Linked DNA regions of Macaca fascicularis. The protein of the gene in region 2 interacts with the protein of the main gene of each other region in a biochemical or structural test. Links are inferred from orthologs where the notes say so. Each region holds a gene or a part of one and is shown on either strand. Other genes may lie near its edges.

Region 1 (12,292 bases), on a different chromosome or scaffold from region 2:
GGGAGGAGATTGCACAAGAATGTAAATATGAGAATGGGGGATTATTGGGGGTTATCTTAGCATTCGCTCACCACAAGCTGTATTGCAAGAATTTAAGAGTAAAGATAGCTCTTAGAATGGGAACACTGACATAATGGGAACCGGAAGAAATTTATGAAGATACCGTCCCACCCCTACATCCTACCTTCTTCCTTCTCATCACTTCACAACCTTTTCAAAGGAGTAGACTACTTTGTACTGCCTTTACTTCCTAATTTGCCCTTTAAAACACCCTCCCCCCAAACGATTTTGATGCAGGTGGATTAGAGACCATGTTTTGGGAAGTTCTTCTCTGCTCATTTTCCCTGGGTAACCTCCAAACTCATGACTTTGGTCTATGTGCAGATGACATACTATTCTATATCTCCAGCTCGGCTCTCTCTTTCTCAAATTCCCAGTTCATCTGTTTAACCTAATATCCCATAGCTAGGATTTTTATTGTTGCAAGTGATAGAAAATTCAATTTAAATTATTTTAAGCAAAAGCAGGGACATATTGACTCATATAGCTGCACAGTCAAGGCACAGCTTTAGCTTTAGCACAGCTTAAGAATTACAACTGTGTGTTAGCTATCTGTTATTGTGTAACAAATTACAACAAACTTAATTACTCAACACAATTTCACTGTCTCACAGTTTCTGTGGGTCAAGGGTCTTAGCGTAGCACTAGGAGTTGGTATCTTTTTAAAATTTCTTGGCTCCGTTTCTCCAATGTTGGCTCCACTCTTAGATCCCTTCCCTGTTGTCTTGAGATGGCTATTGGCATGTCTAAGGCTACAAACTCTCAGATTACAATCCACCGAGAAGGAGGAATAAGCAATTGCCTTTATCCCAGAATTTTCAGCGAAGGTACTGAGATTCCTTTTATTTTGACCAGCTTAGATCACAAGACCACCCTCGGCCAATTGCTGTGTCCAAAGGAATGCAGGGCACTCATTAGTTTCGGCATAGGTGTATCCTTGACTCTTAGAACTGGGGAAGAACCCTACCCAAACTAAGAACACCAAGAGATGGGGAGTGCAGAGCAGGGCTTGATTCAGGAAGAAGGGGAGATGGATGCTGCAAAAACAAGGAGCAGGCACACACAAGGAACACATCTCAAATACAACATGGTTTGTTTATTTATTTATTTATTTGAGACAGTCTCATTGTGATGCCCAGGCTGGAGTGCAGTGGTGCGATCTTGGCTCACTGCAACCTCCGCCTCCTGGGTTCAAGTGACTCTCCTGCCTCAGACTCCCAAGTAGCTGGGATTACAGGCGTGAGCCATCGCACCCGGTCCGTTTTTCTTGTAAGGTATAATTTAATTAATTATCCCATAAACCAGTAAAATATGGGTGTGAAGAGATAGTTTTTATCTTTATGAAAGTCAAATTGAATTCTTTTCAAAGACTTGATGATTCAAATGTGCTGAAGATAATTGCAGTTGCTGCAGGTATAGCTGAGACAACTGTAAACGGCTGAGGCAGTGGCTCACCCTAAGGCGCTGGCCTTCATTTTGGAATGTCAGAGCCAAAAATGACCTCAGATGTGGTCTAATCCATTTCACTGAATTTATGAAGGAATAAACCATGATCTAGAGAAATTTTTGCCAATTAGTTAAAACTCATATAAATGGATAAGGAATCAGAAGTTTTCGGGAAACACATCAGTTCTTCCCTGTGCTTCTTAGGAATAATTGCACATTGCACAAACCTGCCCCTTTCTCTCTCCTCTAATCTGTCATCTTTAACCCTGGGTCAGTCTTCTTACCTTCTTTCTGGGCTCTCTTTCCCTGCTGCTTTATCAGAGGGTTTAGAAAATTAAAACTAGTGTTAACACTAGCTTAAGCCAAACATGAAGACCTTGGCAACACGAGCCTCCTTTCTATTCCACAAACAACCCAGATCCTTCTCATCTTTGGAGGACCTCTGCCCTTCCCATTCCTTCTCTTTAAATGCCTTCTCCTTCTTTTCAAATGTTTGCTCTTTCTAGTTCTTCTTATCTCAGCACAAATGGCATGTCCTCAGAATAGTGCCCTCTCATTGTCCCCATGAATCTGTAACATAATTGTAATCTGCCCTTCCTAGGATTTATTATACTCTGATAGTCCTTTGTTTATTTAGTCATTGTTCTCTCCTCCTGCAACTAGAAGTTACACTCAGTGAAGGCAGGACCTTGTCTGTCTTGCTGGTTGTATTCTCAGGATCTGACAGTGCCAACAGGGGTAGCAGTGAGTAAACAATGACAATAAGTGACATCTCTCCATCAGTCAACAATTTAGAAATGAATCTGGCTGTACTATTAGTCATGATTATGTATACACCCAAGATGCATTTTTCTTATTTACTATGCAGCTTCTATCAATCTAATTTATATTCCTCCCACTTTCCACCCTCCCATGCACAAATTCACCAACTCTCCAGTTCATGTTTTAAAAAAGTGACATTGTTTTATTACTATTGGCAGGTGGGGCCTGCATGAGGTGGTTGGTATGCTGGGCTCAGGGGATGTGTGGGCTATGGAGATGATGACAGAAAGGCTGGAAGGAAGGGGATGCGTTTGAAGGCCAGGCCCAGGGGGTCCTCAGATCCGCTTCTGGGAAGGGACAGCCTTGAGGAAGGAGTCATGGCAAGCCATAGCTAGGCCACCAATCAGATTCAGAAATTCTGAGAAATCTAGCTGTCCATCACTGTTGGTATCCAGTCTCTTCATCATGCGGTCAAGGACGCCGGGGTCCTTCTGGTTCTGCAGAGATGATAATAATTATACCTTTATATTGCATCTTCTAAGGTGCTTTCAAATATGCTGCCACATTTTATTCTCACAGGAGTATAAGGTACAGGATAGGGATTATTAATATTCCCATTTTCCAGATGCAGAAACAGACTAAAAGAGGTAAAGTGACCTGCCTAAGGGGCAGACCTGGGGCTTGGACCAAAGGTTTTCCCACTCCTTGTCCAGGGCTCTTTCTATGACATTAGGGGCTATTCAGTTTTGTAAAGCCAGCGGAACACTTCTTTCAAGTGTTGCATGCAACTCCAATAGATAAACTGCATAAAAGTGCAACGGGTCCAGGTGGAAAAAGGCCACAGGCCCTGCCTAATCACTCTCATCCTCCACTTGCCCAAGCTGCCAACGCAGATACACACTTAGAGCCACTGGTTACATATGGCTATTTACATTTACATTTAAATTAACTAATTTAGAAAGTCAGTCTGTTAGTCACACTAGCCACATTTCAAGTGCTCAGTGGGCACATGTGGCTGGTGGCTACCATACTGGATAGAGCAGATATAGAATGTATTTCCACCACTGCAGAAAGTTCTATTGGACAGGGCTGCCCTAGAACCTTTGGGGTGTAAGAATAAAATTTGAAAACAATTCCATTATGTCATATACCATTTCATATATCTCTCTTCCTAAATGGAAAAACTCCTGGCTTAGAGTGAGTTAAAATGAAGCAAGAGTGTGGGGCGTCAGTTGCTGGTCTTTCATTCCTGGCCATTCTGTCAGGGTCTCGTTTCATGATGTGGGTATTTTGGGGAAGTGGGGGAGACAGGGACCAGTACCTTTGTGAAGGCAGCCAGTTCTGTATTCATGAAGCTTAGGAACTCCGTCTTGGAGAGAGTGTAGTTATAACCATCCTTTCCGGCATACTTCTGGAAAACAGCAATCAGGGACTCGATGCACCGCTCAGTTTCTGTAGGGCTGGAGACTTTTGCCTTTGGAGAAAAAAAATGCAGGGCTCAGACAAGGGAAGATGTCAAGGGCTGGATACTGCAGAAAACTCCACGGAATCTTATTTCAGGTCAAAGCAGTTTCCCAAAAGAGTGAGTCATTTTTTTCAGGGGGCTGAGGGGTTCAAGACAACCACAAAAAGTCACACTCTGTGACCTTCCGTCCTACCCCCTCCACATGTTTATTCCAGGTGAAATATATGGAGGGTAAATGTGGGGCATTGTCGGCATGTTTAAAAGCAGTAGACTGCCTAGATGAGAGTGAGGGTGACAAGGTTTACTCATACTTTTAGAATGTGTGGATAAATACATGTGTAACTCTATATCCACAAATCCATATGCACACCAAGCACTGTCTATAGGTTAATAATTTCCAACTTTCCAAGAGTGTATGGAGGCTTTTGTGATTAATGAAATGTCAGTTCTTTTTAAAGCAATACCAAATTCCTGGGACTCACACATTTCCTTAGAGAAAACTAAAAGCATAGCTATCATTGTGTATGCAGTGGGAGAGAGAACTTTTTAGATGTTTGAAAATGGCTTTCATATTTAAGAGTTAGGAATCATTAATCTTAGATGTAAGAAAACGGACAGGAGAAGGAAATGGATATGACAGAGCCAGCCCTGGAATCTGGGCCTCTCAGTCCCGTTCTGCAGTCCTTAGCCTTGCAGGCTTCCACTTCCTGGTGAGAAATAGTGACAGAGAAGGTGGAGCTTCTCTGGAGGTCACTCCAAACCAGGAAGCTCTCAGGTTGTTGCTTACACAGCATCTACAATGTAAGATATTTAAATCTTGTACTGGGCTCATCTTTCCTCACAGCAGAATTTTTCAGGGAAATTCTACAGGGCCCAGTCATCCGGTTATTCCAGCAGGGACTTGGGGTCCCAAAAGTGAGGAGCTGTTGGGCTCCCTCTGGTGGATAGAAGCCGCAATTACAGACTTCCTGGGAAACCGGCCTGACCACACCCTTCCTCTGAGACTTCACCTCCCAGCATTAACAATGATTTATGTTTGGATGGTGACATTTGCAATTTAGCATTTAGCCTTTCGTTTGTTCTTAGGATGGACTTCCTGGAGCTCAGAGCTACAGGCTTTCTCACTCCGTAATTCACACGAGCTAAGAACTGATCTGAGCCCTTAGCTACACAGCTGCAGATTGATCCCTCCTTCCTGTACAGCCTTTATGCTACAGAGATCCTAGCTGAGATCCTGCCTCCCATTGCATCTTACAGCATTAGAACCCCTGAACCCTAACAGTGGTGGACTTTTACCCAAGAATCACATGATTGGAGAATGACTTTTTTTGTTTTGCCCTAAATTGAACTTTTCCTGAAGAAAAAAGAAAAGTGTTGGTAGGTTCAGGGGCCTTTAGGGGAGAAACAAAATACCACAGCCTAGAAACAGATGTGTTTGTTCTGTTACAACATGCCCTTTATATCAGGCCTAAAATCTCCCTGTCTTACTAAGGTATCAGATGACAGGAAGGAGGCTGGCTGGCAGGCCACACCAGGCTGAGGAGCGTGGGCTTTGTCACCTTTCTCTGGAACTACAGATTCTCCCCCTGCCCCTTTTCCTTCCAGAATGCAGACAGTTTTGTTTTCCAGTTTCACAGTGCCTTTCTGTTACACATTTTTCTCTCCTTAACATCAGTCTTGATGTAATTTAGAGATTACCTTCTTTTGAAAACTGTTGCTGTTGCTATCAGCCACAAGAAAATTAAAACCTCTTTGCATTTCCTCCCAGAGGTAATTCTCCGAAGTGAAAGAAAGAAATACAATTATCAAATTACTAAAATGTAATGGCATAATCTTTAGAGCTCCAGGGCACTTTGGAGATGGGTCCTGAGGACGCCCAGAGACCGAAAAGCTCTGCCCATGGTGGAGCCGTGGCTGAAGGAGAGAACAGGTGCTCGCCACACCTCATGGCACTCTTGGAGTCTTATTTGGTGGGGATGGCGATAGCAAGGAGCAAACATTATGATAAACGGATACTGTGAAATAATTTTTAAAATGCATGCTAAGCGCTCAACATTTGAGGAAAGAATAAAAAAATACAATGAAAAGGAAGTAGCAATTTTAAAAACCTCAACTATTGTCTTCTCATTCTTAACCAACACCCTCCGGAGCTTTCTGTCCCTGCTGTAGCAGGACTGCAACCCCAGACAGTATGGAAGGGAATGGGCGTGGCTGTGTTCCAGTACTTCATTTATAGACGCTGAAGTTTGATTTCCACATAATTTTCACATGTCAGAAAGTATTTTTCTTCTTTTGATTTCTTTCAACCATTTACAAACGTAAATTTTATTCTTAGCTTGTGGGTAGAACAGAAAACCCGACTTGGCCCGCAGGCCAAAGTTTGCTGGCTCTCTTCACTAAGGAGAGGTAAAGAAAGAGATTTTGGAGGTGTAATTATGGAAAATACGAGTTCAACCGGGAGATGAAAGGAGATAAGAAGAGAAAAATAAGTTACGGAGCGAGTCCCTAAAAAGATGGTGGGGTAAAAGGAAGAGGAAGGAGAGGGCTCAGCTGGGACCGGGTTCCTCCCACATTCTTGGCCGCAGTGCTGCCGGCGGCGACGGGCTAAAGTTTCAGTCCCGTTGGGTCTTGGCCGTCGGCCGGCTGCTTACTGAAACTTTGATTTTTCCTGGGACTAGACGACCAAGTTCTAAAATGTCCCTTTTCTGGTCTACAGAAATAACTAGTGACCCTTCGCAGCTTTCCAGCCCCTTGCCTTCAACTTGCTTCTAGGCGTCCCTGGGCTCCCGGGAGAGCACGGGCGAGGGGCTGCAGGCACGGACCCAGGACTGGTCCCCGCCCCCGCGCGGTGAGCTGCCAGCACTTCCTCTTTCCCAGCCCCGGGCCTTGTCGTGACTGGGAAGGCTAAAGAACCTCCGCTGCTACCCTAGGCTGTCACCACAGGGATGATTTTAGGGCTTCTTCCTTCCATCCCTTCTTCCCTTAGTTCCATCCCACGAGGCTGATTTTTCCTGCTGTTTCCTGCCACGTCCACACATAAGTCAAAGATAAAGTCGGCTGGGAAGTATGTGTGTGTTTTTTAAAATTCTTTTTCTTTTCATGTACGAAGAAGACGAAGAAGAAGAAAAGCGAGGCTTACCATGTTGGAGCTGAGCGAGGCGCGGGAGGCTGTGGCTGGGAGCGGCGCTGAGAGCTCTGTGCGCGCGGCGTGCGGGTCTGCAACCTCTCCCCGACCCACGCCCTTCCCGGCCCAGCCTTGCCCAGGCCTTACTCAGACAGCCTCCGCGCCCGCCCCGCCCCGCCTCCCGGGCTGGGCCTGGGACGGCGGCCTGCGCTAACCACAGAACTGCGCTTTAAGAATCAAACCCACCGTCCTCTCCAGAGATTTAAGCAGTCTCACTCTCCCTCCTTTCCCTCTTTTCCCTCCTCTTTCCCCCCGGCCCTCTCCACCCCGTCCTGTGAATCTTGAAGATTTTTGACTTTGTAGATTTACAAGTTTTGCACAGTAGTCTTCAGGAAGTCTGTCCATGTCCGTGGGTCTTTCATGAGCTCATTCTGGGCATTTAGGTTAGATAGGCAGAAAGGTCTCTTTTAAAAACAATAGTGGGCCGGGCGCGGTGGCTCAGGCCTGTAATCCCAGCACTTTGGGAGGCCGAGGCGGGCGGATCACGAGGTCAGGAGATGGAGACCATCCTGGCTAACACGTTGAAACCCCGTCTCTACTAAAAATACAAAAAATTAGCCAGGCGTGGTGGCGGGCGCCTGTAGTCCCAGCTATTCGGGAGGCTGAGGCAAGAGAATGGCGTGAACCCGGGAGGCGGAGCTTGCAGTGAGCTGGAGCTTGCAGTGAGCGCCCCTGCACTCCAGCCTGGGCGGCAGAGCGAGACTCCGTCTCAACAAACAAACAACAAACAACAAAAAACAAAAGCAAGAGCATTAGGACAGAGTGTGGGTCAGAATTGTAGACAAGTTTGTAGGAGTTGGGGCTGTCTATTGCTCCACAGGGAAGATATTTAAGAAGATATTTAACAGTAAACAGTGGTGAGTATTGCCAAATCAATTGCCATGGGATTATTGTCAAGGGACGACTGCCACCCCTCTCTCTCAAACTTTTCTGTAAACTGAGGACAGCCGCAAAGACAAAATCCAAAAACCAAACTACTGCACTTAAAAATTGATCCGTGCTAGTAAGGCATTTATCTGTGTGCAGTTTGCAACTAAATTGGGAGTTGTATTAATAATCAAAAGCCCTGCGTTCCAGTCTTGTGTCTGTTACTTCATTGCAATACTTTTGACAAGACTTGTCACTCCTTTGAGCTTCTATTTCCTTATGTGTAATAGGTCTTGAGATAGGCCTTTCCTGTTTCATAAGATTGTTAGGACTGTCAAGTAAAGTGAGGGCTTAGAAAGGTCTCCAAAAACTGCAGAGTAGATTCGAATGAAAGATAATGGGCTGTAGGCGTTGTGTGAACTGCTTCCCCGCACCTGCTCTCACAGGTGCCCTGAGCACATGAGACAAATCTCCATCTCAGTTCTCAGCTACTCCAGACCCACATTTTCAGTTACTTGTTTATGAATCCACTTGAGAGTCCCACTTGCACTTCAGACTCAACAGTTCAAGAATAACTAATTTTCCCCAAACCTGTTTTTCTCTTCTTCTTTGCTAAGGGTACTATCACTCTACCATTTTCCCTGCTTGAGAGCATTGGAGCCACTGAGTCTAATTGCCTTTTTGACTCACAATTTTTTTCAAGTGCCAGGTAATAGACTTCAAACCTTTGGTGGTGGTGGGTGTTACGTGAGTGGCTGCTGGGGTTCCTTAATACCTTAAAGTTATACGTAAATTTTCTGCATAAGAGAAATTTTTCTGGTGAAGAATCCATATCTTTCATCTGATTCTCAGAAACATTTATGATCCCAAAATATTAAGGAATCATTTGTCTAAATTACTCCATCACTCAATCATGGGGCCTTTCACACCACAGTTCTTTTCTTTTTTTTCTTTTTTGAGATGTTGTTTCGCTCTTGTTGTCCAGGTGGGTGGCTGGAGTGCAATGGTGTGATCTCAGCTCAATGCAGCCTCTGCCTCCCGGGTTCAAGCAATTCTGCTGCCTCAGCCTCCTGAGTGGCTGGAATTACAGGTGTGTGCCACCACACCCTGCTAATTTTTTGTGTATTTTTAGTAGAGACGGGTTTTATCATGTTGGTCATGCTGGTCTGGAACTCCTGACCTCGTGATCTGCCCGCCTTGGCCTCCCAAAGTGCTTGGATTACAGGTGAGAGCCACCATGCCCAGCCACTACAGTTCTTTTTAAGAGAAAATGCCTCACTTACAGCCTCTGCTCAAGGGGCAGCCCAGGTGGCCAAGTTTTGCATGATTTGACACACTGTGACCCTGTTAGAGTGGATTGGGTTGAGGTTAGCTCTGGACACCAGCACTGCCCATCTATAGGATGGCCAGTAGTAGATGTTTCATGACATAACACGGAAAGATGAACTAGGGCCGAAAAGCTTCTTGTTCTTGGGAAGCTGAAATTAGAAGCACATAGAGAATTAGGCATTTAGAAGAGCCGAAGCTGAATATTTGCATAGACAGAACATGAAGTCATGGCAAATAAAAATTATGGAGAAGACATCATGAGTAAGTGGAAGCTATGAAATTTGGAAGAAATACACAGAGGGGAATGTAAGCCAATTGCTAACTGTAAATTAAAGAAAAAGCTACTTGGGTGTTCGCTGAGTTGTGAAAACGATGAACCACTGGGAGTGAAGAGCCTGCAGTCTGACTTCATTAGCGTTTTTGTTCTTCCTAAACCTAGTTGTTAGTTCTTCTTATTTTCTCTATGACATTTGTTCTTTCGATAACTCTTCAGCCCCATGAAGTAGCTTAAATGAAACCAAAGAAAAAAGCTAGGTCAGGTGCGGTGGCTCACGCCTGTAATCCCAGCACTTTGGGAGGCTGAGGCGGGAGGACCACGAGGTCAGGAGATTGAGACCATCCTGGCTAACAGGGTGAAAACCCGTCTCTACTAAAAAATACAAAAAATTAGCCGGGCGTGGTGGTGGGCGCCTGTAGTCCCAGCTAATCGGGAGGCCGAGGCAGGAGAATGGCATGAACCCGGGAGGCAGAGCTTGCAGTGAGCTGAGATAGCACCACTGAACTCCAGCCTGGGCGACAGAGAGAGACTCCGTTTCAAAAAAAAAAAAAAAGAAAAGAAAAGAAAAGAAAAAGAAAAGAAAAGAAAAAATGCTAAACCAAATAAGTATGACTTGTCCAGAGCCAGGTTGGGGGATCAGCCCCACCCAGTTAGGGCTGCCTGCCTGACAGCTGCTCCCCAGGGTCATGCTGAAAGGGATTCATTTCTAGGTTACCAGTCAAAGGAGGGAGAGTTCAGGAAAGGTAGCAGGCAAGGTAGATTTGACAAAGTAGGCAAACAATGAATCGAACTGAAGGGCTGGAGCCGGCAAGGAGCTGAGGATGAGTGAGAGCTGGTAAACTGACAGCAAGACACAAAAATGATATACAGATGATTAAAAGGGCTGCTCAGGAAATAAAGGTAGGAACTTCCATGCCTCAAGGTAATTCTTATGTGCAATTTGATCTCTGTGTATCATTGGGTTCATTCTGAAATGGACACAGTACAATGTGACAAACCCAATAGCAAGGGTGTGACAAAGATTCAATGACAATGCCAGGAAAGAAATGACAGGTTAACTCCGGGAGTGCAAGGAAAGTGTCCTGGAAAAGTGCTGCTTGAGGTGGGTATTGAAGGGTAAATAAGGATTCACCAGGTGGATGAACATGGTAGTGAAAATAGGTGAACTCAGGCAGGATAGCACAGTATTTACAGCCACAGACTGCCATGAGACTGGGGTTCAAATTCCCGTCACTAATATGTTGCTGTCACAACATATTAGTGATATGAAATCTAGCAAGTTATATGTTGGCTCTGTGTCTCAGTTTCCTCATCTGTAAAATTGAGAGAATAGTAGTTGTTGTGAGGATTAAGAGTTAATTCATGTAAAATGCTTAGGACTTACAGCACTATCTTCAGAGGAAGTTTTACATAGTGGCTTGTGTAGAATTAAGGTTCGGGATGAAACATTGTTCATGTTCTCAGTACTTGCAGGTGGTTCAGTAGAACCAGACTTTAGGGTGTGGGGTGATGCTAAATGTGAGGCAGAAGCTGTGGGATGTGAGATGGGAGAGATAAGGGTCAGCTCATTAGGAGATACACTTGGAAGTTTGGATTGTAACCTGAGGGTTATGTATCAAGGAACACTGAAGATTTTTAAGCAGGACAGTGATGTGATCCCCTTCACTTTTGGAAGTGTAAAAAACATGTTCTAGAAAGAAGAAAGACTAGAGGCAAAGAATATTAGAATATTGTTGCAATAACCAAGGTGAGATGGCCATGGAGATGGGGAGAAGGAATTGCCAAATACTGAAAAGGCAAAACCAACCTAACTTGGCCACTGTTGAGCTGTGGAGCATTAGAGAGAAGGAGGCATCAAGGGTGAATCCTAGGACTCTAGCTTGATAGCCCTGTGGTAGTGGTACCATCCCCAAGATAGAGAACATAAACTGAATAACATTTTGAGGGGCTTAAGGGAAGATGATGGTTTGATATTGATCAAATTGAGTCTGAGGTAAGTGGGACAATTCGATGCTAGAGGAATTAAGCATGTCCAGTGTCTATCTTATGTTCTCCCATAGCTCGTTGTATCATAATTCGTATCATACTCTACTGTTATTTTATGTTTACTTAATCATCTTCCTCACTGGACTCCAAGCTGCTTAAGGGCAGAGGTGGTGCCCTGTTCACTTCAGTATTTCCAACATTCCCTCATTCATTGAGCAGATATATAAGAAGAATCTTCATGCGTGCAGAGCTATCTAAGCACGGAGGCTGTAGTGGTTAACAAGACAGATGAAGTCTCTGTTCAGATGCTGCTCGACAAGCTCAACCTAGGTGAATAAACAATATTTATAGAGCAAGTGGAGGAAAATGATCCAACATAGAAGAAAGAGGAGAGATGATCAGGGAAGCAGGAGGAGGCTTCTCTGGTGTCATCAAAGTCCATAAAGAGAGACTTCCAATATACAGGGAGTGGTCAATAAGGTGAAAGACTTCAGCGAGGCAGAGTATGGTGGAGGCTGAGATATGTTCACCTGATTGGCAATCATATCCTTGGAGACTTTTGCCGGAGCAGTTTTAGAGAGGTGGTAGGAAGAAAGACAGATAGCAGTGGACTGAGGAGAGAGATAAAGAGTAGACATGGGGGTATGGATTACTCATTTGATCAAATTGAATATGAAGAAAAGGAGAAAGTGGCAGCCAGAGGGGATCTAGGATTAAGGGTAGATTTAAAAGCATATAGGTTTACAAGCTGTGGAGAAGGAGTTATCAGAATGAGAAGTCAAAGATTCCAGATTGAAAGAATGTGAACAATAAAGCAAGACCCCAGAGGAGCCGTGGGTGACTGGAATTACTGCACAGAGGTGGAGAAGGAGAAGAGTGGGAGGGAGGCTGTAGATAGCTTGTAGGTTTGGGCTGC
Region 2 (12,406 bases):
AAGGGCCGACAGCCTTTAACATCAATTTTCTTCATCATCAGTTGACATAAAAGAATTCATTATCGAGATGTTCCAAATGAACTTCTTAACAAATTAAGAGGTATAAATTATTTATCAGCATAGAAAATCAATGTTATACTATATATCAGGGAAGCAATTGGGAGAATGACATTTCATTCATTTGAGTGAGAAAGGAAGAGACAATCAACTTTTCCTGGCCCTCAGTGTTGCAGTGTTTGATCCTAGTTCCAACTCTATATGTGAACAGAGGTTTTAATTTCAGCATGGAGTTTCTGCTAGAAATGAGCTAGTAATATCTGCTGTAACAGTAGAGATTCCACAGATTTGAACACAATTTCCTCAGTGTTAAGTAAATAATTATATCTTCATTTGGCAAAGAAATTTTTTATCTTCAAAATGAAACAGATTCTTCCCATTGCACATGTCTGTTTTTTGACAGTCATTCAAATAGCCATTCTGAAACGTCCAGGAGGGAACTGTTTTCAGGAAACACATTACCTTTAACCATTATGGCCTTGTGCAAGGCAGCGACATCCGAGGATGGATTGAAGGTAGGATAGGGGCTCACTGCTGATCCAGGACCACCTTTGGATGATTTCACAGTTTGCTAAGAATGAGAGAGAAATAAATTAATGGCCATTTACTTATATTCGTTTTTATTTCAATATTGCAATCATCATTTTATTATCACTCTACTTACAACATATTCCTGCTCTTCATTTTCAATAAACCAGGCCTGCTTGAGGAATTCTGATACCATTGCCATTTTTGAAAAAGTGTCTGGAAAGAAAACAGGTAGATGCTTTTACAAAACAAATGCACCATACACAACCTCTCCTTCCTCACCTCTTACATACATAAGAGGCAGCATTAGAGAGTAGCCTTGCTCTTACTTTCCAGGATTAACTACATTTAGGAGCATAACAAAATGTAAGACGTAACTTTATTTTTTTTTAAAGGAAGCTTTTATCCTTAAAATGAAGCCATACCCTCCTCTCTGAAACTGAACTCTTTCTTGGCATATTCAATTCTAAACTTCAGGGATCAGACAACTACTACAAGTAAGCACACAGGCTGAAGAGAGGACTTTGTGGTTCCCTACATTGTTCTAAATTTATAGACCATCCACCATATGCCAAGCACTGAGAGTACAAAAACATTGAAAAATCATCTTATGTACCCTCAGGACTTAAAACTAGTGTGTGTTCTCCACAGGAAAACATAAAGGCTAAAGAAACTTCTTAGAGTAGGCCCTGGCTGACCCAAGCCTCTCTTGAAATGAGTCAAAATTAACCTGGCAGAAAAGTTAAAGAGCACAAACAAGAAGCTTGTCATATTTGGGAAGCTGAAGAAAGTTTGCTGGCGCGAGAAATGTTGGCAGAAACTGAAACAAGAAGTTTAAATGTGTCCACAAAAAGGGTTTCTTTTTGTGTTTTTTAAAGCAGCATGGTTTCATTTATGTTTCAGAAAGACCATTCATCCTGTATCATGGAGAATGGCTAAGAGATAGACAAGATGGAGGATTAGAACACTATTTAGTAGACCATTAGACCATCTATGTAGAATTAATGAGAACCTGTCCAAAAGTAATGGCTAGATGAAAAGCTTAATTATTGCTTTTGTTTTTGTTTTTGTTTTTGAGATAGAGTCTTGCTCCGTCGCCCAGGCTGGAGTACAGTGATAGGACTGCAACCTCCATCTCCTGGGGTCAAGTGATTCTCTTGCCTCAGCCTCCTGAGTAGCTGGGATTACAGGCACTGGCCACCACACCCAGCTAATTTTTGTATTTTTAGTAGAGACAGGTTTTCACTATGTTGGCCAGGCTGGTCTTGAACTACTGACCTCAGGTGATCCGCCCACCTTGGCCTCCCAAAGTACTGGATTTACAGGTGTGAGCCACCGCTCCCAGACAATGATTACATTTATAAGGTAAAATAATCTGTGACAACCTGTACAAGTGAATTCAGATTTAAAATTTTATCTATAAAAAGATATCCAGGTGATATTTCTCCCTGAATAATTTAGTTTCCTTTTCTATTTCTTGGTATAAAATTATTCAGCATTGAAATAATTGCTGTCTTCACATTTCATCCTATTTGAGCTGTCTAAATAGTAGTCCTATGTATTTTTCCACCCAAGACAAAAAACCCAGAAAAGGATTACTTTATACAGGATTTTTGGTTCTAAAGGGAAGCCTAGAGGTGAAATTTGTAACATGCATGTTCTTTTGGCAAACTCTATCTTAAAGGAAATTTCTTGAATTGCTATCATGACTTGGCAATATTTTTATTTAATGAGACATATATTTTTAAGATCTTAGATATATTAAAAATTAATGTATTCTCTGTTTTGGCCACACACACATAAAAAGCCATCACGATCCTTTTAGTCTGGGGACGTTTTTCAGAGGCCTTGCTCAAGGTCTACACTGATCTGTCTATCCACACCATTCTGTTTCACCCCTCTAGAGACTACTCTCATGAATACTTGCGAGAGAGGTTGAGAGGATAATCTTGGCAGTTTTAAATTCTTGATATGAAGATAAGTGACTCATGAGGCATAAAACCCATAAACTAATTCCACAACAGCATGTTCAGACAAACCCTTTCAATTTACACCTGCTAAAAAATAACCGGAGTTCCAAGTAATAACACTGAATGCATGAAGAAAATAATATCCAAAGTAGAAACCATCTCCACTTAATTCTCATGGGATTGCTCTTATTACTATTCTGTCATCTGTGAGAAGAACCAATACCTTTTCCACTCATTTAAAGTTGCCTCTTTCCTAAATTTAATCGATAAATTTAAAATTGTTTCCTGAGGTGAAGTAACAACGTGCAATTTTGCACAAGGTTTTAGTTCCCATTACAATCTAGTCTGTGCAATTGCGGTTGCCACATGGAGTTTCATATTCCAACTTCTTAATTGACACACCCAATACTTTAAAAGCAATTCTAGCAGCTTCAGGCACTCTAAATTTCCATTTTCATCATCTCATCCAAGCCTTCGATAAAGAAGAATCATCAAAATAAGTGTTATAATTCATCATTTGGTAAAGTACTACTCCATCACTTATAAAAACATGTTCATTAATTCCATTCTTTTCAAATAGCAAATAAAAACTTCAAAAGAAAGCAAAACAAAGACTAAAGATATAGTCCAGTCTAAAATTAAAGGTGTCTCTGATAACTTCAAAATAAACTTTACAAAAACTTTACCATAGTAGTTTTTTTTTTTTTTTTTTTTACTTCTAAAAAATACTTGAATAATGTCCATTTAAAAAAAAAAAAAAAAAAAGCTAGACAGAGCCTAGGAAAAGGTATACTAATTACACAATACAAGATAACAAAAATAAGTAGTTTAAGTCACTTATTTGACAGAGAGAGCATCCCTAGAGGAGATAGCTTTGTGATTTATATCTTTTAAGTTCCTACATTCCAGCCTGAAGTATTTGGATAGACTAAAAGCATAATCTAGGAAAGAAAAGCAGCCAATAGAGAATTTTCTTCAAGAAATCAATTAGAGAAAAACGGAATCTGAATTCAGCCAAATTCACCACTAGCTCTTAGCAAAGATTAAAGACAGGAGCATCAAGGCAGGATATAGAAATTGCTCTAAAGGAAACAGATTTTATCACATACAGCTGGTTAAGGGCCCAAAGCCAACTGCACATATTAACTGAGCTTCCTAATAATTATAATACATCTAACAAATACCAAATACATTTTATATATATATTGGCCAAATTCTATCCATAAGCCATTCTGACTCTCAGTACCTATACTCTGCATGAAAATCTACCTGTGCCAATGAGTTCACAAAAGGTTTTCTTTTTTCTGTCTTTTTGTTTGCAGTGTATAAAGCTTGCAATAGATCTTAAAGAGCCTGTTCTATCAACTTACAGATTTTAACTAACTCAATACAGATTTCAACTAACCAACAATAAGCTCTAAAACTAAGTTTATTTAAGTACTTAGCATGAGCTCAATGAAAGTGAAATTAGCCATTTATACATAGGCTAATCTATAAGGAAATTAACAATATTTCACATTTCTTCTAATTAATGGTCTTTTTGTGAATATGCATTGCCTACCAATGTCAACTTATCTATTATTTGAATGTATAACTTTCTAAAGAGTAGCATTTTTTGCATATTTATGTGTCCTAAAAGAGAACCCCCTTCATTTTTCCATCTCTCAGCCTCCTGAAAGGCTACCTCTAGTATTTGTGACAGAGGAAGCTGAGGTTTGTGGTTGATTATATCTTCCTGGTTACAATCTAGAACTATCAGAGTTTTGCAATGATAGTAACAGCAACAACTAACCCTTGCTTGGAATAACAGCCTTTCATCATTATCCTCAGTTTCTATCTGGGAAAACTGAGTATTATTTTCAGGCAGTCTTCCTGCTAGTACTGGTAAGACTGGTGACATAAATCCATCCCTTTTGATTCCAGAGTGTTGTATATTTTGGCTGGGCATGGTCGCTCACACCTGTAATCCCAGCAATTTAGGAGGCCAAGGTGGGCAGATTACTTGGCGAAACTCCGTCTCTACTGAAAGTACAAAAATTAGCCAGGCATGGTGGTGAGTGCCTGTAGTCCCATCTACTCAGAAGGTTAAGGCAGGAGAATCACTTGAACCTAGGAAGAGGTGGAGTCTTCAGTGAGCCGAGATCATGCCAGTGTACTCCATCCTGGGCTACATAGCAAGACTCGAAAGAAGGAAAGAAGGAAGGAAGGAAGGAAGGAAGGAAGAAAGGAAGGAAGGAAGGAAGGAAGGAAGGAAGGAAGGAAGGAAGGAAGGAAGGAAGGAAGGAAGGAAGGAAGGAAAGAAGGAAGGAAGGAAGGAAGGAAGGAAGGAAAGAAAGAAAGAAAGAAAGAAAGAAAGAAAGAAAGAAAGAAAGAAAGAAAGAAAGAAAGAAAGAAAGAAAGAGGGAAGGGAAGGGAAGGGAAGAAGGAAGGAAGGAAGGAAGGAAGGAAGGAAGGAAGGAAGGAAGGAAGGAAGGAGAGAGGAGGGGAGGAGGGAAGGAGGGAAGGAAGGAAGGAGGGAAGGATGTTATTCTTTTAAATTAGTGACCAAAAAGAAAACGACATGATCAGTGTTCTTTTTAATAACTCACACCTGAGAATCAAATTCATTAACAGTCAACTTGTGCAGACCATGGCAAGTTTCACCCAGCCTTAGGGAGTTTATTTTTAAATGCATGCCTTGTGCATAGTTTTTCCTCGAATATATATTTCACAAGTCCTTCCCACACCTTTCCTGATGAGAGAAGGCAATTAAGACTACACAATGGCATGATTTACAAAAAGCAATTTATGAAAGGTAGCCTCACTAATGTTTTGCTTCCGAGCTTTTCGATAGGGTGTTCTTCTTGCCTGGAATACTTGTTCCTTCTCCACATTCAGTTCTCTTTGCCTAACTAATAGCTACTCCTAAGTGAGGCGTCAGCATTGACCTCATCATGTTCTTCAGAAACCCTTCATTCGTTCCTCAGTCTTGGATTAGGTGACCTTCCATGCTCTCCCATAGCATCCTGACTTCACCCCTACACCAGCCCCACCATTCTGTATTATCACTTTCCATTGGTTTATTTATATTCCCCAGGAGCAGGCCATGAGGCCCGTGCTAACATAATAATATTCATTATGTATGTACTTCCAATACCTAGCAAAATGCCTGGAATTCTGGATGTTAATAAGTATTATTGAATGAGTATCATGTATCATTGCTAATATTTTTAAAAACATATCTACACTAATTTAACAAACATTTTCTCCCCACAACTATAGGATATAAAATACAAATTGAAGTGTACTAGTTCTTGATTATCTGGCATCTGACCTCAAGAAAAACATTTAGCTTCTCCAGAGGGTCTTCGTTTATAAAATAAAAATGTTGAAGTAATTAGTATCTAAGATCCATTTACAGCTCTGAAGTGCCAATCTTAAATTTTACTTCAAGTGGATGAAGATGAAGAAAACTAGCATAATGAAGGAGGGTATTGTGTAAATTGGATCTGTTCTGAGCTTCCTGATGAAATTCTCTCCAACTTTAAAGGAAAAGGAAATAGTTGACTTCAAAAAACTGTTTATAGTTTATCATTGAAAATATTCCACTGGTTTAGCTCTTATTTTAAATGTCATAAATTAATAGGCCTAGAGAGAGCTAATGTCATCTTCAGAAATCAACCTTTGCAGACATTTTGGTTGAAAAAGTATTTAATAAGCCTGAAACTCTGGTTGGTTCCTTAATAATATTATTCTTAAGTATTTTGTCAACATCTGTTAAATGCTGACTATGTGCCAGATGTGGTTGAGCCTGGAGCTAGGGTGGTAATGTCACTTTTGGGGAAGAGGCCATTTCAGAATTATGAAACCAACATTTTACCACATTTGAGTCATTTGCAAAGTGCACTCTCTCACAGCTACCAAAATACTCCTGTGGAAAGGGGGTAACATTGCTTTTTCAAAGTTTATACAATCTTTTAGACATAATCGAGGCAGGAAAAATCTCATCCTTGTTAATTAACTAGCAGTGAACATAAGAAATCAGAACATTTAATAAACATTTAAAATGAAAAAACAGAAAAATCTTTGAAGGAATATGTTTAAGAAAAAATACCCAGATATATGGTCATGATTTGTAATCTCACTTTTACAAATATATCCAACACCAGTAAATACTCTTCTTTAGTTTTGCTTTGCGCTTTTCTAAGGAGTTTTATGGCCATTAGCTCATGCAACACTCAAGTGGAATAGCTGTTAGAGGGCCTTACTAACATTCCCTTAGGCTAATGTATCTGACATTACCCAGTAAGTATTTCCCTTCTTAGGTTTTCCAGCCAGCATTTGAAAAGCCTGTATATGACACAGAGCCTCCAAGAAAAGGAATGTGACCACACCCTCTTTAAATGAAACAAGTAATAAGCGGACCTTCTTATTTTAAATAGCACGAGCAAACATAACATATATTTTTAATTTAAATAGCACGAGCAAACATAACATATATTTAAAAATGTTTATTACAAAGGGCATGATTATCACTTTGAGGTCTGATCTATCTTGTTTTCCTTACAAAAGAGGAAAATAAATTATGAAAGTCCTACTATTTTGAAACAGTTCCCTGCAGCTCACTCTTATCACTTTTGTTCTTGCCCCCAAAAAGCAGCCCCCATCATGATTTCTCAGTAAAACACACACAGCTCTTGGGAAGAAATATTTCAAGGGGAAGAAAAGGAAAAACACATTCTTTAAAGGCTACCAAAGGAAAAGCACATTCTTTCCTTCTTTCTCATGGTAACTTACCAAGAGTACAATGAGCCAGTATTAAGCAAACTTATCATATTTTTACTTGTATTTGTTAACTAAGAAGAACAAAAACATTGTAATTTGTGATTCCTAAAATATAAATATCCAATGTAATTCTACAGAAAGATTTATGAATGACTTATCATGTTAAATGCAACTAACCATAAATCCTGTAGAAGCAGTAACATTTAACATAGTGATGAGAAAAGTTTTCAAAACAACCAAAACTAACTAAAAGGAAAACCAAGACTTACCTTTATCTCTACCTTCTTGCAAAGAACTAAGGGGAAAATCTTCTCTGAAGATTTCACACTAGCGGTGGAGACTTGGGCTCCTGATTTTATAGGATTTGAAAGGAAGCCACACCTAGCAACCAGAAGTTAGTAATTGGCTGCCTTCTGTTTGAAGTACGTGGCTCAGCTATGTCCAAAAACAAAGTGAAACAAGTCTTGCAAAACTACTCACTAAACCAACTCAACTGGCATTACAAAGGAAAATAAATGGAAGGACTGATTTTTTCCCCCCTCTGTATTTTGCACTTTTATTTCCAGATGGTATATTTATTTTGCACTTTTATTTTCAGAGTATACATCTGCCCCAATCCTAATACCACTGATTGGCACACTTTTGTAGTTAAATAGGTTGTAGACTAAAAAAAGTATGTTACCTTCAAAACTAAACAAACAAAATTTTACATGTGAATTCCACCTCCACTTATTATTCTGTGACTTTAGGGACATATTTAATTTTCCTGAACCTGTTTTTACTTTTGTTTTGTTGTCTTTTTTCCCTCCCGTTTAGTGGAGAATGGGTTCTTGTTATATTGCCCAGGCAGGTCTCAAACTCCTGGGCTCAAGCTATCCTCCTGCCTCTGCCTCCCTAAGAGTTGGAATTACAGGTGTGAGCCACCATGCCTAGCTGTTTTTACTTTTGTATATAGGGGCATTATCTAAGTTGTCTATCCAGTAGAATTCTTGTGACAATGGAGAAATAACATAATATTTGTAAATTTTAACATTACACAGTGCCGAATGACTTTCTATTTATATTTTTTTTGCCTTCAAAAACAAAAGACTTTTGTTCCTAGATATAGCTTGTTGTTATAAGAAATATAGAAGTAATAAAGTTCCAGATTGGCTAAAAATTTTGAACAAAGGTAATGCCAAAAATTTGATCATTATGACATTCAATGAAAGCATTGACATTAAAAGGCCTATCTACATTAATTCTTTTAAATAGAGTCAGTTACATAGAACTGTATATATAAATTGTAATATAGATCAGTTATGCATAAATTTTGATACGCATAGATCTTTGACATGGAAACTAGTTGAACAACAAAACAAGGAACTAGACCTATGAAATGAAAAGATTATTGGATCAGCAACTATTACAGAACACATTCCATAAGAAATTTCCCACCTGATGGAAGGAAAATTGGTTCTGGTAACTTCCATAGTGGCTCATTTTCATTCTTCGTGAAACCCAACAAAATATTATATGATGTTTCCATTAAAGTGCACAAGTGTAAACTCTCACAGCATTATGGCTCAATTTATGCTACATTTGGTGGTTTGTTCTTTTCCTCTTTTTCTCATAGATATCTCAGGTAAAATACATCAAGTTCAGGAAGTTAATGAAAATACTTTGTAAAGATCAACAGTATTTTATAATACAGTCTAAGTTCTCAAGGCCAATATCAATGAAGTCAACATATCCTGAAGTAGGAGGATCATCTAATCTAAATATTTCAGAAAATGTCAATATATGTTTTTACTATCATATGTGTAAGTTGAAAAATAATTAGTTATCTGCTAACAAGTTAACTGATATTGCACATTGATCTTTACAAATGTAGACTAACTTTCTAATACCATATTTATGTCATCAGGTGAGAAGGAATAAGATAATTATACAAAATCTGGTTTTCTTTTTGTCTTTAATTTGCATTTGTATTCCTAACTCTGGTAATGGAACTATTGGAACATTCCTGTACAGTGACGCTCTTGTGAAATGAAGAAAAAAGTTCACTTACATTTTATAAAATATAACAACCTAGAACACATATATAGTCTCATTTTGTTTTGTTGCTGCTATTACCAGTGCCATAAACTGAATGGAATTATTTTATGTATTTAGATTTGTAATACATAGACAAACCTAAAATATCAACAATAAACATGGTAATTGTAGCAGAATTAAGAAAAAAACTGAAAAGAATGTTTTTCCAAAATTAACTTCCAGCTGTAACACTAAAGGCAAGTGAAACTCCTAAACATAAAACAAAAAGAAAGCCACTAATCATCTAGGTATATTGCTGTGAATAATCTGTCAGAATCTTTTTCTTCACACAATAATAATGTCGAGTAGATTTATGGAAATAAAAGAACAAGTAAAATACGTTATCATTAACAGTTAGGGGATAATCATGGGTTAAATGTTTTTTTGTGGGTGAAACGCCACATACTCCAGATAAATGACTCACCACTTGCTGTTTCTAGAAGATGATGATTCATCGGCTCCGCTTACTTTACAAACAGAGAAAATAAAGAAAGAGAAGGAAAGAAAAAAGACAGTTAAAATCAATCACTATATGTTACGTTTTTCACAGCATGTTTATTTTCACTCATTTGGTTTAGAATCTGACAGTGAAGAGGAAACGAAACAAAACAAGGAGAGGAAATATGGAGTCTCTCACATACATCTCATTGTGCATAAGACTCTTGCAAAATATCTGATCTTAGTAAGGTGTCCCCTCATCCTTTACATTCAGCTCTATCTAAGCATTACTTGTTATATGGAAGAAAGGGTATATTCTGAATGATCAAGAACAGCATTTCACTGAAATTCCAAAATCTCCCCTCAGCTTCCTCATACCCCTCTCCACAGCCAGTGAAAATCATTATTTTAGTGTGTATTTCTCATGTGTCCCCAGGTCAAAGCATTTTGAGAACTAGTGATATAAATGTTTTTCCCTTTGCCTCTTAACATGGCAAATAATTATCACACACACACTGAGTTATTGGGATTCTCCTTATTATTATTCCTCAGTTATTCACATAAATTAAAGACAGAATTTTTTTCAAATTTTACTCTTTCAGGTTAATGAAGTAGTCACGTGGGTAGCGAAAGCCAAAGGGAGGTGCCTTTGTTGGACTTCACTTAGGGAAAAAGATCTTACCTCCCTGCCTCTCTATATTTCCTTTTGTGGGTGGAATGTCTTAGAGAAGATAAAAACTCAGATTCAGTGATGGCTTAGTATCTATCACTGTGTGACTTAGGAAAAGTCAGCCAATGACTTGATGATTCAACTATTATACTTCCAACATCAGGATCATGCTAGGATTAGTAATTTTGTATTTCACAAGTCTTTTTCTATTTCCCTGAATATAGTATCCATATCCCTCTCTATATTATTCTAAAGTAAGAGAATAAGACCTTGTCACATTCACTATGATGACAAATTTTACTTTAATACATTTTCAAGAAGTTTTACAGAAGGAAAATTAAGATATGTGTTAAGGTCAAAAGGTCAAACTCTGCTTTCTAGGTTCCAGCTGTTTTAAAATAGTCTAGCAGTTACTTACAAACGTAAACACAGTCTTACAATGCAATCTAGCAATTGTGCTCATAGATATTTACCCAAATGAGTTAGGAAATCATGTTTACACAAAAACCTGCACATGTATGCTTACAGCAATTTATTCATAATTACCAAAAATTGGTAGCAACTGAGATATTTCTCATTCATTAAGAGGTAAATGAATACATAGACTACAGTACATTTATATAATGGAATATTACTCAGTGATAAAAAGAAATGCTTTTAAACGAGGAAAAGAAATGAAGGAATCATTAATGAGTATTGCTAAGAAAAGGAAGCCAGTATGAAAAGGCTATGTCTGTTTCTTTCCAATAAGATGCATTCCGGAGAAGGTAAACTATAGAGAAATTGAAAAGATCAATGGTTGCCAGGAGTTGGTGGCAGAGAGGAGTAATAAATAAGAGATGTTTAGGGAAGTGGGCTGGGTATGGTGGCTCACACCTTTAATCCCAGGACTTTGGGAGGCCGAGGCGGGCGGATTATCAGGTCAGGAGTTCAAGACCAGACTGACCAACATGATGAAACCCCGTCTACTAAAAACACACACAAAAAATTAGCTGGGCCTGGTGGTGCATGCCTGTAGTCCCAGCTACTCAGGAGGTTGAGGCAGGAGAATCACTTGAACCCAGGAGGCAGAGATTGCAGTGAACCAAGATTGTGCCACTGTATTCCAGCCTGGGCAACAAAGCGAGACTACGTCTCAGAAAAATAAAAGAGATTTTTAGGGAAGTGAAACTATTCTGTATGATACTATAATGGTGTTTGCATTTGGCAAAACGCATAGAAATGTATAACATGAAGAGTAAGCCCTAATGTAAACTATGGCAATTAGCTAATAATAATGTATTCACCAATAAAACAAATGGACCACAACATTCCAAGATATTAGTAATAGGGGAAACTAAGAGCAGGCGGAAAGTGAGTATATGAGAATTCTCTGTACTTTCTGCTCAATTTTTCTGTAAACCTAAAATTTCTCTAAAAACTAGAGTCTATTAATGAAAAAGAAGAAAGTTCATTTGATTATATACTTTCTAAGATATACCAGTACCATATAATTTCTAATACAATAATTCAAAAATTGTTATGTAATCAGAACACAAAAAATACAGAAAGTCTTCACATAATCATTGACAACTCCGTGGATTTATGACATGAACCAAAGATTCATATCCTTCAATTTAATAATTTTGTTTTCAATTTCTATTTTAACTCAATAGGTTTAAAAAGTGATTTAAAACAATTATTTAAACTGGAATAGTTAAACAAAAGCTGGATCCTTATGCTATATTAAAAAATAAAAAACATGGATCTGGATGGATCTAGAATTAAAATGGGAGTAAATATATAAAACAAACTATAAACTTTATAAGATATTCTGTAAATATCTTGTAGCTAAATTTGTAATGAAAGGTTTCCAGACCAAGTCACAATAAATGTTTGCTTTGCATTGGTTGGGGTGGATTTT

What was found.
Region 1: the proteins of ANXA1 (region 2) and S100A11 form a complex in vitro, tested with the Homo sapiens proteins (2 studies listed by BioGRID). The link is inferred for Macaca fascicularis from reciprocal best matches to the Homo sapiens genes ANXA1 and S100A11.

What each region holds. Positions count from the first base shown.
Region 1 is NC_088375.1:109,111,144-109,123,435, reverse strand, and holds S100A11 (protein S100-A11), read right to left. Parts: upstream 6,981-12,292; 5' UTR 6,876-6,980; coding exon 6,873-6,875; intron 3,743-6,872; coding exon 3,590-3,742; intron 2,766-3,589; coding exon 2,604-2,765; 3' UTR 2,444-2,603; downstream 1-2,443. UniProt on the Homo sapiens protein: Facilitates the differentiation and the cornification of keratinocytes.
Region 2 is NC_088389.1:103,845,557-103,857,962, reverse strand, and holds the start of ANXA1 (annexin A1), read right to left. Parts: upstream 7,649-12,406; 5' UTR 7,589-7,648; intron 802-7,588; 5' UTR 788-801; coding exon 722-787; intron 629-721; coding exon 520-628; intron 1-519. UniProt on the Homo sapiens protein: Plays important roles in the innate immune response as effector of glucocorticoid-mediated responses and regulator of the inflammatory process. Has anti-inflammatory activity.